Danio rerio: one gene and its partner. The protein of the gene in region 2 purifies or fractionates together with the protein of the main gene of each other region. This does not show direct contact. Links are inferred from orthologs where the notes say so. Each region holds a gene or a part of one and is shown on either strand. Other genes may lie near its edges.

Region 1 (2,832 bases), on a different chromosome or scaffold from region 2:
TTAGAAGTTGCTGAAGGTCAAAATACAACTATTTTACAAGAAGTGTTTTGTGAAAACTTGAGATGTCTATCGGTGCCAGTTTCAGACTGTTGTTGAATGATATTTTTTCTTAGTATTGATTGGGGCGATTATATTTTCACACATGGTATGAACCATTATAAGGGTATATTTATTATGTTATAAATTTTTTATTTTCAATATTTAATTAAAGAGCTATTAAAGAGCTGACCCCCCCTATTCATCTTGTTTTAATGTCCTTCAGGGGGGACAAAGAAGTGTTAATGAGGGGTCAATCCCCCCACCCTCCAACCCCCCTGTAATTCGCACCCTTGATGTTACCCACGACACTTTTATGGTACTGAAACAATCAATTGTTTTTTAATGCTAAAATTTTTGCCAAAATTAGAAATAACGTGTCGAATAATAATATATAAATGCTTATTAATTGTTTTTATTTTCACTTTAATTAAATATTAATGACACCGAATAATTAATAACAAGGAAAATGTCATGCAAAATGAGAAATAAAATGCTTACTTTTTCACATCAAAGGAACAAATCAGTAAATAATAATAATAAAAAATAAATAAAATTACGGGATATATGTATATATAAATATATAAGGGATATATAAATTACAAAAAATTGCATAAGAAAAATTATTTCAGAATTGCACACATTCTTATAGCTTTTTTATTTGTTATGTCTTGTAGGGTTTCAATATGCATAAGATAAGTTTTAAACAAATAAATATTAGGCTTATCATTGGATCAGTTTTGTTTGTGTACATGGTACTTCCCATATATTATCATTAAATTAATAAACAAATTTTGCTCCAAGGTTTAGTTGTTATTATTGAATATCAAAAAATATTTTTACAAGAAAACTGAATTTTTAATTTAGTAAGTTTAAATATAAAATGTTCAACATCAAACCAAAATATTTGGGTATATGTGCATTCAACAAACAGGTGTTTTATCGATTCCTTCTCTAATTCACAAAAAGTGCACGTAGATTCCATGTCTCTAAAATATTTTTAACAACTTGTTTCAAAAACGATTTTGACAAGCGTTGATTTAAGGACTTTTATTTTGAAACGATACATAATATAACTCATGTCCAGCTTCACAGAAGAAGTGCGCGATGCACTGAACTTGTATGGACATGGTGAGTTCATTCAAAACTGAAATAATATTTAATAATAATGCGCGTTATTTAATTATGCTTATGTATTTTCTATGATTATCGCATATAAGAAGCTGGAACGCATAATCTGAGCCAACACAACAACTGCCTTTGTCAAGCACTGTTTTTATCAACATAATAAACAAGGTCAAATAGTCAATAGTCATGATGGTTACATTATCAAAATATTTTGTGTTGTTTTAATAATTAACATTAATAATAACTACTGTTGTGATGCTTACTGTCTCCTCAGATGATGATGTCAACAAGATTAATCCACCTTTCCCGTCATTTCCCTCAATATGGCTTTCGATGCCATCCTTCAGGACTTATTTCAAGTGCTCGCATGCAATACAACATCAACAACGGCCTGGCACACATGGGTAAACAGATGCCCAACACATCCACACACACCACGCGGATTCACCCGGCCTCATTCTCCTCTGACCTTGCCTCAAGAAAATACAGTCTAATCTATGCATTTCCACTAATCAGGGGCCTGCGGGCTCTTTCAAGACTCAAACTCTTACAGACGGGCATCACTGTTGTCCTGCTGCCCACTGTGTATTACCTCCACCTGCAGGGCCAGGCATCAGTGTTGGTCTTAAATCGCTCAATAGGCATTGCCTTGTTTGCTGGAGTCATGCTGTACTCCATAAGCCACTTTGTCAGAAGAGTGGTTGGCATGATGTATTTGGATTCAACACAGACCATATTAAAGGTGTCACATCTTAGCTTTTGGGGTCACAGAAGAGACATTTATGTACCCGTCTCAGATGTTGTGACTCTGGGAGATTCAGGAGACTCCAGGGGAGAATCAATTCTTCGGTTAAAGCGCTACAGCACTTCTAATACCATGTACTTTTCTACCAGACTGGGACGAGTGGTGGATAGACACGCATTTGGGAAGGTTTTTGGGAGTTTGTCATGAATTTGTGTAGTTTTGTATGTCATGTCATATGAAACTTTCCCAAAGTGAGAAATTAAAGATCTTATGGTAAAGTTAAGTATATGTAGCTTTTGTTTTGTGCATTTTATTAATAATTAGTGATGTAACAGATCACAAATCTTACGGTTTGGATCATATAATGTTTTTTTTAGTCACAGATCGGACTAGCCAAAAAGGGGAGGAGACAAATGTCATTTCTTTTCCATTTTATTACAAAAACTGCACTGCAAGAAACATTTGGTTTCAAAAAAACAAAAGTAAGAACCCTTATATTTATAAAAAAAAAAAATGAAGAAATAATTAGCTAAATATAAATAAATGGTAAAATATTCAGTACTGTGGAAAGATTCACAATTTCTGCTACTGTTGCTGATGACACTAAATGTAGAAATCTAACATTATAATTTGTACAACCCATATTTATTTTTAGTCTCGTTTTCAATAAATGCTTGTTATTTACTCATAAAACTTCATGTTTCATTGCTAGATGGATCATTTTTTATTATTATTCAGTGGCATATTTTTGATGGCTGGTTGAATTCAACCTATTGGTTAAATAATGTAATTACTGCTTACAACCTTTATTTTTGAGCGTCAAGTTAAATGTATATGACGTTAATTTTAATTTTTACCATAAACATCAGTGGTTTATTCTAAACTATAAACTGTTATCCCAGTACTTCTGTGTTATTTGATTG
Region 2 (4,285 bases):
GTGAAGTAAAAACCATTTCAGGTGACTACCTCTTGAAGCTCATCAAGAGAATGCCAAAAGTGTGCAAAGCAGTAATCAAAGTAAAAGGAGGCTACTTTGAAGAACCTAGAATATGACAGACTTAAAGTAGATTAACACTTTTTTTTTGTTATGTATATAATTCCACATGTGTTAATTCATAGTTTTGATGCCTTCAGTGTGAATCTACAATTTTCATAGTCTTTAAATTAAATAACTCTTTGAATGAGGTGTGTCCAAGCTTTTGGTTTGTACTGTATATTAAAATTAAAATTTGACATTGTTGTGCTTTGGTTTTTTACTAGGATGCAGCGGGTGCAGTGTCGGGCACTGACATGTCTCCATAATATCCTCTCCTCTATGGACACAGATTCTCTTGGTGGCGCTTCAAGTCTGCAGGCTGTGGCTCAGCACCTCTCCTCACTGGTCTTCAGCTCGGCAGGTAGACATCTCCGATTAGTTTTTATTCACTTTAAGCAGTGCAGTTGCTTACTTTCTGTTATTATAAATTAATTTCTAGAGGTTTTAAAGGATGAGGAGTTCCTGGAGGCTGTGACCAGTGCTCTCCGATCTCTGCTACAGATCATGGCTACCAAAAACATCTCTCAGGTGAAAACCACAATCTTCATTAATTCATACTTTAGTGAAAATATTTTAAGTGTCTGTTTTTTAAAACACTGCATTTTTTTATGAATTCTGCAGTGTATGACTCCACACCAGCTAATGGGTTTTTGTGAGGCTGCCACCAGCTGCGATCTGGTCAGTGTGAAGGTTAACGCTCTGGCCATTCTTGGAATCACAGGAAGCTCACTTGCCAAAGACAAAAACACAGCAGACACTCTGCAGGTAAATACTGATTGTTAGAATTTTACTGAAAGCTGCTTTACTACTCTGACAAACACACACACACACACAAAATGCTTTGCCTGTTTTGAAACTCTTTTTGAAACTGCATTGTCAAAAAATATGATGTAATTATTAGTTGATCTATTAAGTTGATATGTTGATATTGGGGAAAATGCACTTACTTGTATGGTATACTTAAAGGGATAGTTAACCCAAAAACAAAACACTTCCTCACCATTTTTCACAGTTAAATGGTTCTTTTATGACTTTTTTGAATTTATTTATTCTGTTGAACAGAAATCAAGATATTTTGAATAATGCCAACAAAAAAAAAACATTGACATCTATAGTAGGATCAGAAAATACTATGGATGTCAGTGTGTTTTTCACCAACATTCTTAAGAATATCTTGCATTATTTTATACAGAATAAATAATATCAAACCTGTTTGAAACAAGTGGAGGATGATTAAAAGATAGAATTTTCATTTTTGGGTGGATGAACCATCTTTTCAACTATGGCATATTCTATAAATGTAAAAACAAAAAAACCCTTACAGAGATATACACTAATCTATTCTACTACTACTAATACTAGATTGGACCCTCTTTTGCCTTTAGAATTGTCTTAATCCTTCGTGGAATAGATTCAACAAGGTACTGGGAATAATCCTTAGTGATTTAGGTCCTTATTGATATGATAGCATCACACAGTTGCTGCAGATTTGTTGGCTGCATATCCATGATGCGAATCTCCAGTTTCACCACATGCCAAAGGTGCTCTATTAGATTTAGATCTGGTTAATGTGGAGGCCATTTGAGTACAGTGAACTTATTGTCATGTTCAAGAAACCAGTCTGAGATGATTCACACTTTGACATGGCACGTCATCCTGCTAGAAGTAGCGAACAGAAGATGGGTACACTGTGGTCATAAGGAGATGGACATGGTCAGCAACAATACTCAGGTAGGCTGTGACGTTGACACGATGCTCAATTGGTACTAATGGGCATAGAGTTTGCCAAGAAAAAATCCCCCACAGCATTACATCACCACCACCAGTCTGTAACCCTTGACATAAGGCAGGATGGATCCATGCTTTCATGTTGTTGACTCCAAATTCTGACCCTACCATCCGAATGTCGCAGCAGAAATCAAGACTCATCAAACCAAGCAGCGTTTTTCCAATCTTCTTTTGTCCAATTTTGGTGAGCCTGTGTGAGTTGTAGCCTCAGTTTGCTGTTCTTAGCTGACAGGAGCGGCACCTGGTATGGTCTTCTGCTGCTGTAGCCCATCCGCCTCAAGGTTCGGTGCGTTGTGCGTTCAGAGATGCTTTTCTGCATACCTTAGTTGTAACAAATGGTTATTTGAGTTAATGGTGATTTGGTTTGAAGTGCAGAAGATCGTCTTGACCATGTCTTCATGCCTAAATGCACTGAGTTGCCATGTAATTGGCAGATTAGAAAATTGCATTAATGAGCAGTTGGACAGGTGTACCTGATTAAGTGGCCAGTGAGTGTATTTTGCTTGGATAACTTGAAAAGTTGGGTCATTCTAAATGCATTTTAACGTAGGCTATGCTTTTAGATATTTAAGATTTGTTTTAATTTTTATATTTGTTGCATTAGAGTAAGCTTAACACTGTTAATGTGATTTGTGTTGGGACAACATGAAGGAATAAAGTTAATTAGTATTAACAAATTTAATTGAACTGAACATAAAACTATTAAGTTGTCACTCCAAAAATCTCATTCAGCTCATTTTTTAAAAGCTTGAACAAACAGCAAATGTCATTTTTTGAGAGAATGTCAGCTCCCAACCTTAAAACAACATCAGAATATTATCATGGACAAAAATATTGCATACCTTATCTAATTTAATGCATTGTTTTTATTAAATATGTTCAGTAGAATGTATTCACTATTACAAATGGCTTCATTTATGCCATTATACAGCACTTTGATGTATATTAAATATTTTGATGTACAAATGAAAAATGTATGATAAAATATGCCTGTGCGTTCTGAAGTTAATCAGTGAACAGTGTTGTTGGAGTGTATTTGTCATCACATTGCATGTACAATTGTCCCTATTTCTTTTTGCAGCTGATTGGAAATGCATTACTAAATGTAGCAACAAAGGACGCAAACCTGGTAGTGTGTGGGGAAGCTCTTGATGCTCTCTTCGACGTGTTTGCCGATGGCGATGAAGCAGAGAAAGCTGCAAAAAATATTGACCTGCTTTCTTCTCTCAAAGCCCTTCAACCAGGGTTTAGAGCCAAGGTTTGTTTAAAGCCAACAAGAGATATTACCAGGAATATACAAGCGCACTCATCCATCACATTCACACGCCCAAGCTGTAATATTAAATCAGAAAAACCTCCCAATACATGTTCAGGCTTGAGCTCAAGGTTCAAGCTTGAGTTCTGTTGCATAAGCACATCTCTGCCTGACAGAAAGAAGCTCTGAAAACCAGCTCAACAGATCTGTTTTGGTTGGCTGATCTTTTACTTTATAACTCTAAAGTACTTTTTCAGCTGCTTTTATCCATTCACAGCATGGCCATTGCTGGATCTCTGTATGTTCTTCGGCCTTTAGATGGCAGGCTTTTCACAGTTTAACCGTTTGTTTCCTCACAGCTGCGAAAAGAAGGCAAAGGAAAATACAGCCCTGATCAGCTTTGCGTTCTGGACAACATAAGGATCAACCTGAAGAGATTTATCGGCTACTTGGAGAACCTGCAAAGAAAATGAGATTTAAGTGATCAGCAGAGCAACTCTTATTTAGCATTTCCTGTTTATAATCCTTTTTGGTTTTATTTTTATGTGAGAGTGTTTATGTGAGGAAATGAAGACATAAAATAATGTTTGTAAAACCAAACATATGAGTGCTTTAATTAAAGCATTAACTATCAGTATGGCCTCTTGTGGTGCTTTTAAGAATTAAAAGCACAGTTTGTCCCAAAAAATGAAATGAAGTTTCACAAACTAATTTCGAGAGGAGCATGTGATATGATTGATCGCGGCAGGTCTCTCATCTGTAATCATTTGTAAACTACTTGGATTATTCCAAACTCACTGTAAATAGCTCGTCTAGCATTACTCCCTCGCCTTTGTTTTTTGAAGAATCCCCCCACCCCACCCCCTTTCCTCCTTTACCAGGGGGAGCTCTTGAGAACTACCTGATCTTGTACCTCCTTACATGAGCCCTGAGCTCAGAGTTCTCTCCTGGCCTGGGACAGCATGCAAAACCTGCTTATAATATCAAGCAATATCTGAGTGTGAACTTTTGAATTTTTCATCATTTACTCAGCCTCCATTTGTTTCCGGGTTTCTTTTTTTGTTTAACACAAAATATATTTTGAAAAATGTTGCAAACTGGCAGCCGTTCACTTTCATTAGGATATTTTATTCCTACTACTAT

The links.
Region 1: the proteins of heatr3 (region 2) and tmem186 purify together in Homo sapiens (co-immunoprecipitation; 3 studies listed by BioGRID and IntAct, counting the BioPlex papers as one, with this or other methods). This does not show direct contact. The link is inferred for Danio rerio from reciprocal best matches to the Homo sapiens genes HEATR3 and TMEM186.

What each region holds. Positions count from the first base shown.
Region 1 is NC_133197.1:27,568,355-27,571,186, forward strand, and holds tmem186 (transmembrane protein 186), read left to right. Parts: upstream 1-1,135; 5' UTR 1,136-1,158; coding exon 1,159-1,167; intron 1,168-1,256; exon of another isoform or gene 1,257-1,332; intron 1,333-1,438; coding exon 1,439-2,116; 3' UTR 2,117-2,321; downstream 2,322-2,832. UniProt on the Homo sapiens protein: As part of the MCIA complex, required for efficient assembly of the mitochondrial complex I.
Region 2 is NC_133182.1:38,112,170-38,116,454, reverse strand, and holds the end of heatr3 (HEAT repeat-containing protein 3), read left to right. Parts: intron 1-323; coding exon 324-460; intron 461-538; coding exon 539-627; intron 628-720; coding exon 721-864; intron 865-2,968; coding exon 2,969-3,145; intron 3,146-3,501; coding exon 3,502-3,615; 3' UTR 3,616-3,776; downstream 3,777-4,285. UniProt on the Homo sapiens protein: Plays a role in ribosome biogenesis and in nuclear import of the 60S ribosomal protein L5/large ribosomal subunit protein uL18 (RPL5). Required for proper erythrocyte maturation.